2 linked regions of the Oryza sativa Japonica Group genome follow. The protein of the gene in region 1 binds, or shares a complex with, the protein of each later gene. Links are inferred from orthologs where the notes say so. Each region holds a gene or a part of one and is shown on either strand. Other genes may lie near its edges.

What was found.
Region 2: protein PLASTID TRANSCRIPTIONALLY ACTIVE 12, chloroplastic-like (region 1) and thioredoxin-like fold domain-containing protein MRL7 homolog, chloroplastic share a complex: the UniProt entries of both Arabidopsis thaliana proteins name them as parts of the transcriptionally active chromosome (TAC) complex. The link is inferred for Oryza sativa Japonica Group from reciprocal best matches to the Arabidopsis thaliana genes PTAC12 and MRL7.

Annotation. Positions count from the first base shown.
Region 1 is NC_089035.1:33,074,396-33,078,892, reverse strand, and holds the start of protein PLASTID TRANSCRIPTIONALLY ACTIVE 12, chloroplastic-like, read right to left. Parts: upstream 3,003-4,497; 5' UTR 2,865-3,002; coding exon 2,831-2,864; intron 2,755-2,830; coding exon 2,702-2,754; intron 2,580-2,701; coding exon 1,908-2,579; intron 1,022-1,907; coding exon 909-1,021; intron 538-908; coding exon 275-537; intron 1-274. UniProt on the Arabidopsis thaliana protein: Involved in plastid gene expression. Acidic transcriptional coactivator necessary for the transactivation of many PIFs target genes (class B genes), particularly during the regulation of hypocotyl growth.
Region 2 is NC_089035.1:36,100,766-36,105,062, forward strand, and holds thioredoxin-like fold domain-containing protein MRL7 homolog, chloroplastic, read left to right. Parts: upstream 1-1,467; 5' UTR 1,468-1,549; coding exon 1,550-2,202; intron 2,203-2,478; coding exon 2,479-2,563; intron 2,564-2,656; coding exon 2,657-2,768; intron 2,769-2,947; coding exon 2,948-3,051; 3' UTR 3,052-3,122; intron 3,123-3,265; 3' UTR 3,266-3,636; downstream 3,637-4,297. UniProt on the Arabidopsis thaliana protein: Plays an essential role in early steps of chloroplast development. Involved in the regulation of plastid gene expression. May positively regulate plastid-encoded RNA polymerase (PEP) activity through binding to FSD3 and CITRX/TRXZ.

The sequences.
Region 1 (4,497 bases):
TTTGTCATATTTATTTCAAAAACAAACCATAGAAGTTAACAAGTAGTTTGGATGTTCCAAATATATTCTCAGGTAAATGCCAACACTACTTCTGTGCTAAGTTAAGATCATAATATGTGCTCAATTTCCAGGATTTATCATACAATATATTTTAACAGAATAAATACGATTAAAGAAAGAAGCTATTGTAGGATGGACCATGTATAAATTCAGCAAAAGCGGCTTGTAGATGTCAATAATATAAAATGATCAGGATTGAGAAAAGAAGATATACTCTGTTTGATCTGGTCTTCCCGCATCCTCATTGCCAAAGGATCTCGTTGTATGCGAACATCAGTGCCCATCATGATACGGAATTCCCCAGCAGTTTGGTGTTGAAACATTGTTATAAGTTGAGTATTCTCATCTTCGCCAGTCTCCTCAAAGTGTTTCTGTACAGCTTCTCGTGAAGTGTCTTTGTTTTTATACGCTTCAACCCATTCCGAATAGTATGCTATTGGCCCTATTTCTTCTAGTCTCCTTTGTTCTGCTTCTAACCTGTGTTTTCATTGTATATCCAATATAAGAATGGACGGAAGGCAAGATAGAACTATATACCTTAAGAATACTGTGAAAATATCATGTTGAAAGGACGTTGTGTCAATATTTTTTTCTGCTGTCATAACAAGTAACATTGAAGTACAAACCAGCAGGTAGGCAACTAGACATAATAACATCCATCAAATATTTGTTATAAATCAACGAGGGGATACCAAAGGTCAGTTAAAGAGTCTACATAAGCTTAAAGAGTATCATTGCACATATGGTGAAGATATTAAAATTAAAAGCACGGTTTTCACATATGGTGAAGACCCACGAAAAGCAAAATCACTAAATTTTGAGAAAATAATTTCTAGTATTCAGCCAACCTTTCCTCTTTGAATAAATGTCTTCTTGCCTTGGCAAGAGCAGCTTCTGTTCTGGTAGGGTGGTCCCCAAATATTTTGATCTGCCCAGTTTCTGCCATTGCTTTTGCAAAGACCTACAATAATGAAATGAGTGTTACAATTTAAATTATAACTGACAAGACACAGAGCTGTAAGTTAGAAGAAACACTAATCTGAATAATGAAAAAGGTTAAAAACATCAACCAACAATATAGATTAAATTGATAAGCCATGTATAGGAAATGCCACATCTGCAAGCTGTGCACGTGTATCTACCAGGTGGTGGATTTAGTATGGGGGAATAGGCGTTCAACTGAGCCACACAGCTTTTAGGATTCGTGGAATAGAGATGACCCCAGAAGATCCTTATAAATGTTACCAGTCTAGGCTAATGAAGAACCTAATTCTGTCTGAACCCAAGATATATGGTTAAGTATTTCATCTCATTTTGAACTCCCAGAATAAAAATACCAGCTCATCACTGTGTACACTACTCTGCTTGCATCTTTTATACACTAGAAGATGCATACGATGATCATGACGACATTGTGTGGCTTCTGGAAATATTAGCACTACAAACACTATACTTTGGTTGGATATTTTGGCACACACAAAACTACATGTACTCCCTCCGTCCCAAAAATATAAGAACCTAGTACCGAATGGGATGTGTCCAACCAAAGTATATAGTATCCTGCGTCCCATCCAATACTAGGTTCTTATATTTTGGGACAGAGGGAGTACTACCTTAGTGTTTGTGCCTTGTGCTATCAAAATAGGGTATACGAAGACTAGCATACAAACAATTGAAACCCTCAAAATTGTGGTGTGGACATGCAGCAGGAGGAGTGGAGAATAAGAACCATACTGTGTACATCATATTCGCTACTAGGTTATGTTAACAAGTGACAATAGGCAGAAAAACTTAAGTAAAAAAGACTTATAAGTCATTTATTAAGTTCAAACCAATCAAGAACTAACCGTGTCAACATCTGGACGCCTCCTCTGCCATCTTGACCACATTTCATTTTCCTCAGACTTCCTCCTCCAGTTCCACCACAGCTCTTCACTAGATTTTGGTTCCCCTACAGACATTGCCTTCTGCGGGTCAACGAACGGGTGTGGCCGTCCCATCATCTTGTCCATCTCATATTCACTCAAATTTTCTTCCTTGGGCATCTCATAAACGACGTACTCATCCAATGAATCCTTTGTCTCCTCCAGTGTCTCATCTGATGAGGCCTCAATGGCCACAACCGACTCTCCCTCATCTCCACTGGTCTCCGTGCCTCTCCCTGCCGTCGCTGATGCTACCTGCTCCTTGTACCCTTTCCTTCTACTCCCGGGCTTCTTACCAAACGACGGTGTCCCAGCTGATTCCCCGACCGGTGCAGGTGCACGGGCAGCGCGTACGCGGGATGCAGTGCCCTCCGGCCAGTACTCCTGCCCAGGTATGCTTGCCCGAGCACCCGACGCCGGCTCGAGCTGGCCCGACGTGGAGTCGAAGTAACTGGAGTACGGTGGCGCCTCGATCTTAGATGGATCAAAATGGAGCGAGTCGTCCTTGACGCTCCTGATCCTGCCTCTTCGCGTTCTGCTCGACACACCAGAAAACAGCACCCTTCTCCGGTGAGGCAATCCAGCAAACACCTTCTGCGCACGCACCAAACACAAATCAAAATAAAAAAATACTCAGCACCCATGACAACTGGGAGCACGGGAACGCGGTAAAATTTCAGCAATTTTCTCGGGCATTCCGATGGGGGAGGAGTTACCAAGGACTGGAGGGGGCGAGGAACAGTCTGGGCGGTGGCCTGCGGCGCCATGCCTGCGGAGTATTGGAGGGAGGTGAGTTCGCTTGAGCCGTGCGAATTGGCGGTTGGAAATGAGGGGCGAGAGGTCACCTGGGAGGAGCCAAGTGCGGGAGCACGACGCCATGGCTCCGCCTCCGATGCTGCGGTTGGAACCCGAGGTGGACGAGAGAGAGCTAGGGGAGGGAAGCGGATGGGTTGAGCTCCATGGACGCGCACCGAAGTTCAGGTAGCCGGTTTGGTCTTCGGAAGGGGACAGGATAACAAGGAGAGGTTTTCGAAGAGGAACACGGGGTTTATCCGGTGGACTTCAAATTCGAATTTTTTTTATTTATAATTTTTTTTATTAAAAGTTTTACAAAAATAATTTTCCATTTTGAAAATTGACGGAAATAGTCGCCTACAGCCCTCTGGGAGGGCGATTTTTAAAAATCGCCCTCCCAGAGGGCGGCGAAAATGACGTGGCAGACGGCCGTTCGCTCTCGGGCGACGGCCGTCAACGAAATTTGCAGGCGGCCCCCTTGCCGCCCTCCGCGAGGGCGATTTTCTACTGTGCGGGGGGCCGCCTGCAAATGGGCGGCGGGGGGGGCATGGAATTTTTTCAGGCGGCCCCCTTGCCGCCCTCCGCGAGGGCGATTTTCTACTGTGCGGGGGGCCGCCTGCAAATGGGCGGCGAGGGGGGGCATGGAATTTTGCAGGCGGCCCCCTTGCCGCCCTCCGCTAGGGCGATTTTGCACTGTGCGGGGGGGCCGCCTGCAAATGGGCGGCGAGGGGGCATGGAATTTTGCAGGCGGCCCCCTTGCCGCCCTGGGGGAGGGCGATTTTTGCCTCCCCCCTATAAAGCCCAGCCCCTCCCCTGTGAAATTTCATTATATTCACTAAAAATCCAAAAAAACGAAAGAGAGAGAGAGGGGAGGGCAGCAGAAGGGAAGCGGCGAAGCCCTGCTGGTTCGCTCACTTCATCACAGGTATGCTCCCATACATCTTTTGCATTTGTACTAATATATTACGTTTGAGTACATATGTTGCGTTTTAGTTTTAGTTCCATATATTTTAGCAGATCTGTAGCACACAGCACATATGTGTAGATCCAGAGCATAGAATATAATAGTATGAATTGAGACATAGACAGTAGTGTTAATTGTAAGATGTAGTTTAGTTTGATCTGGAGAATGTAACCTACTTTTAGAAATTTAGAGAACAATATTGTAGAGAATGTAACTTAGGGCGTAGTACAGAAATGCGAGGTTAACGCAGTTATTGTTTTCATCAGGCACAATGTCAAGTAAGGTCACATTTCAGATAGTTCACGGTGAAGGAAATATTAGATTTGGTCCAGATGGTGTTGATCTGTCAGATTTTGTAATGACATCTAAGGGCATCGATAGGCCTGCGGAGAGAACATTTGAGTCAATTTATAGTTGGTTGTTGAGAGGATTTAGAATAGACCAAGAAGTCTACACAATGTCAGTATCTGTTGTAGTGAGTCGTGCAATAGAAGGTTATTTTTGGGAACTAATGCCGATGGACAGCACTGCTGCTTGGAGACGGTATGTGGAAATGGCTTTTGAACGGTCATGGCCCCTCGTTATATTTGTGTCGGTACAAGAGAAAGATACAAATGTTTCAATGCAAACCGAAGATGTGGAGGGTCCTAGCAATGCAGGGGATGTTGTTGGACCATCGATGCAAAATGAGGAAAATCAACCAAGGGAGGAGCAGGCCATGGGCATGGCGGATGAGGGGGAGAGAGTCGGTAT
Region 2 (4,297 bases), about 3.0 Mb from region 1:
AAGGCAGTACCCAAATGCATAGGGAACAACCCATCCTTTTCAATTTTCTTCTTTGTCAGTTACTTCCAGACTTTTTCTGCTTACAATACAGATTCAACAGTTCAGATGTCACTTTCTCATCTCGATCTTTTCTAATTCTAACCTTCTAGTACTATCTACATAAACTACGGAAAGAAGCTAGAGTTCTACTCCCTGACCCTTTCTAGGTTGAGTTTTTTTTGGATGGAATGAGTACAAATTAATGCTAATTAATAATTCATATACACTCCACGTTTGAGCAGAAAATTAAACTGCCAAAAAATACAAGTAATTGCAATTGAGCATATGTTCGGATGATTAATATATTTCATAATCCATTGTATCCAGCGCCATCATCAATAGCTGACACAGTGATACGTGTGATCGGTAAGTGATCGTCGGTCGGCTGCTGTACTGACGGTAGGCGTAATCCTCCAGGGACATGGATCGTCGACAGTACTGCGGAGAAGCACTATAGCTGTGCCCACCACAGTTTGTTTAATGCAGTGAATATTGAGAAAACACCGTAGCTATAGTGTGTTGATCTCTTAGTTTTTTTCTGTTATTGTTTTACATTCACTGTAGTGCAGAGGATGGCTAATAGATAGTTACATACTATTCCCTGCATCTCAAAATAAACGAATTTATTATAGGATCTACTACGGGATGTAATATGTATTAATACTTATGTTCAGATTTTCAGTAGTATCACATCTATAGCTGTTTGGTACGGCAGATGCTCCCTGTTCCATCCTCCACGAATTTCCTTTGCCTTTGAAATTCTAATTTTTTGAATAGGGGAATACTAGTACGCAAACACCCGTATTCGTCCTCTACGTACTGGTGAGCGCCTTAAATTCGCCGCCGAATCGATCGCGATTAGCCATCCGTTTTAATCAAGCTTCCATCGTCTAACGCACCGGCCGTTCTTCGCCGGTGGAGGGACAGACAGGGGATGCGGCTGCGCTACCTGCACCGATCGCGTTAAGTGGGACAAGCAAGAGCGCAAAGACAAGAGCGCAGCACGGTGCGGGAGCCCGGTGGATCAGAGCTAGTACTAGTATATACTCCAGTTTGACGGACCCAGTGCCGGCCGGGCGACGCGCGCCTGACGCCCGCGGATCGATCGATCGCCGCCGCGCGCCTGGACGAGCCCAGGTGCGCTGCCCTGACACGCCACGCGCGTGTTCATCGACAGCGCCTCCTCCGCACGGAGGAAAATGACGTCGACAGCGCCTGGCTAGCACCGTCATTACGTCAACCGCTGACGTCAGGTAGTTGGGCTTGGTCTCAAGTTCCCGACTGGGAGCACATGCATTGGGCCGGATACCAACACCACCAGGAGAAGAGGAATCCCGGCCCGATAGCACATATCACACGGATTTGTGCCCAAATTTGTAATAAGACCAATGTAGTGGGCCGACTAGTAGCCCGTAGCTCGGTAGATGCAGTGATGCACCAATTCGGATAGGGCAGGAAAGAACGGTGAAAGACGAGCGCCGCGCGAAGGCCGGTGAACTTCGTCGCCGTGATGCTTCGTCTTCCCACTCTCCTCCCCCTAAAACCCTCGCCTCCCACCACCGGCTTAAACCCCATCCACGGCCGCCGCCATGGCCACCACCCCAGCCGCCTCCTCGCCTCCTCCGCCCCGCCGCCGCCACCACCACGGCCTCCCAAGCCCGAGCCCCGTACCAGCCACGAGAACCTAGGCGACGACACCCCCGATTTCCCCACAACCAAGCCCCGCAAGCCGCGCCGCGGGCGCCGGAGCGAGGCGGCGGCGGTGGAGGACTTCGTGCGTGGCCGCCTCGAGCAGGTCTTCGCTTCCATCCGGGAGCGCGACCCCGAAGTCCTCGAAGGCAAGGGCGACATCTTGAAGCGAAAGGAGGAGCTCTCCGACGAGGAGGGAAAAGAGGGGACTGGTGAGGAAGAGGGGGAGCTGAAGGCTGTGGTTGAGGAGGAGGATCCCTCCTGGCCTCTGGACGCCGACATCGGGTGGGGGATTCGGGCGTCGGAGTACTTTGACAAGCATTCCATCAAGAATGTGACGGTGGATGGTGTGGAGATCGATTGGGAGAGGGAGGTCGAGGAGGGATGGGTCAAAGAGATCAACTGCTTGGAGTGGGAGAGCTTCGCCTTCCACCCTAGCCCCCTCATCGTTCTTGTCTTCGAGCGCTACAACAGGTATAAATCACTATTCTACCCAGACTCTATTCATGTGAACCCATAGTACCTATATGTTAGGACCAAAGTGATAAACTTCATAAACTTCAAGCTTCTCACTTTATATTGTCATATCTGATAATTTTGAATCCATTGAATCAAAAGTTCAGAACTACCCCTGAAGTAATGCATAAAAATGTAAAAATGTACTATCGTTTTGAGTTGCCTCAGAAAATTAGGTGTTCTACTTCCATGACAGGATGATATGTACGCGTAATGTTTTGCCTTTGTTTATAGGGCAGCTGACAATTGGAAGTTTCTTCAAGAATTGGAAAAGGCGGCTAAAGTTTACTGGAATAGTAAAGATCGGCTACCTCCTCGGGTCAGTGTGAATCATATTTATAGTTAATACTTGATGTATTACGGTAAGGTTATTGAGGTGGTTGGTCATATGCTAAATTTAATTGAGTTCCAGACAGTGAAGGTTGATATGAATATTGAGAGAGACCTGGCATTTGCACTTCAAGTAAAAGAATGCCCACAATTATTATTCCTCAGGGGAAACAAGATATTATACAGGGAAAAAGGTGAGTAGTTAGTTCCATTTTTATGGTAAATCCTGTTCACATAGTTAACAAATTGAATGGAACTTTGAATTATTAAATTCCTTGATTGCTAATATGCACTTTCATGTTAGGCCCACCTTTTTCAATGGTCAAAATTGCCACTCTGACAACACCTGATTGCCTCATTTGCTTGTTTACAGAACTAAGAACTGCCGACGAACTAGTTCAAATGATTGCCCATTTCTACTACAATGCAAAGAGACCATCTTGTGTTAATCCTGAAGCTATTGCACCTCCGTGCTAATCTCCTGCATTTCAGCGCTTATGTATTGAGACAGTGCCTTAATTCTCAACTCTTGGTGAGTGTACACTGTGGTAAGCTTTTCATCCAATGATAACCTGTTCCCCGTTAGAAAACTGTATTCTATACTGGTCATTGTTCTCTTTAATGTCCTTTCTCTGTATTAGTACCTGGTTCAGGGGAGAATATTATTAATTTTGCTAACTTTATTTGCCAGGAAAATAGTCTAAATAGACCAGTGTGGTTATGATGCTTGTATCTGTAATAAATGTATCACTTGAAGAGGAAGGAGAGAAACCTCTTACTGGCTCATCTCAAGTTGGGAGGGGGTCAGGTATCAACTATGTCATATATTTTGGTATGCTCATGTTTTTAGCTGTACACTTTCACCTTTGTACTGTACTCTAACAAAACATACAGTTCATCAAATTTCTAGATAGAACAGGAGGGAATGCTAGCTTAATTATCTGCGTGGCCATCCTGTTAAGGAGGTTGTAAAGTCGATTGTAAACTTTTGAGGCGTAGTGTAATGTCATTTCACGCCATAGATGCAAAATGAAGGCAGGGGGGTCAACCCATTTGTCATCTTATAACTCCTCTGATTATTTTTCAGTGACGTAATTGAATTTGTTGGATGGAGAACGATACAAGACATACCATACATGCATTATAGGGTCATTTTGGTAGAACAATCTCATCTTGTGGAACTGCTTTCAGATACTCTTTTCTTTGGTTAGCCCCCCTTTTTTTATCTTGGGTGGCAAAGGGGGTATAGTTGTGCTCCAAATTCCCATGAGAATGGGATGGCAATGCTTCCCCCGGTCTCAAAAACAAGTCGCTTGAGAATGCGTCCAGTCAGCATAAGTTAAGTTTGGCTATAAAATAAATTAAAGTATATGTTTTGGGTGTTTCCATCTATAAAAATAACTTGAACTATAGGTTTTGGGTATATGAAAATGATATATTTAAGTTTGTCATAACAAGAGCTTTAATAGTAGACTGTCCGCATAAGAGAGATCATGAACAATCTGCCACTGGTTTTGAGTGCTCCAAAAGGAATGCAAAATGCAATTTCTGATCAAAGGTACTAGTACGAAATGGAACACGCGTCATGTCAGCCTATGAAATCAACAATTATTAATTGTTCCCCATATCGAACTATAAAGAAAGGAATCCGATGCAAACATTCACTTTGCTTAACAAGAGTTACTGACAAAAACAGAACAATCACCTCTGTAAACTATAAAAC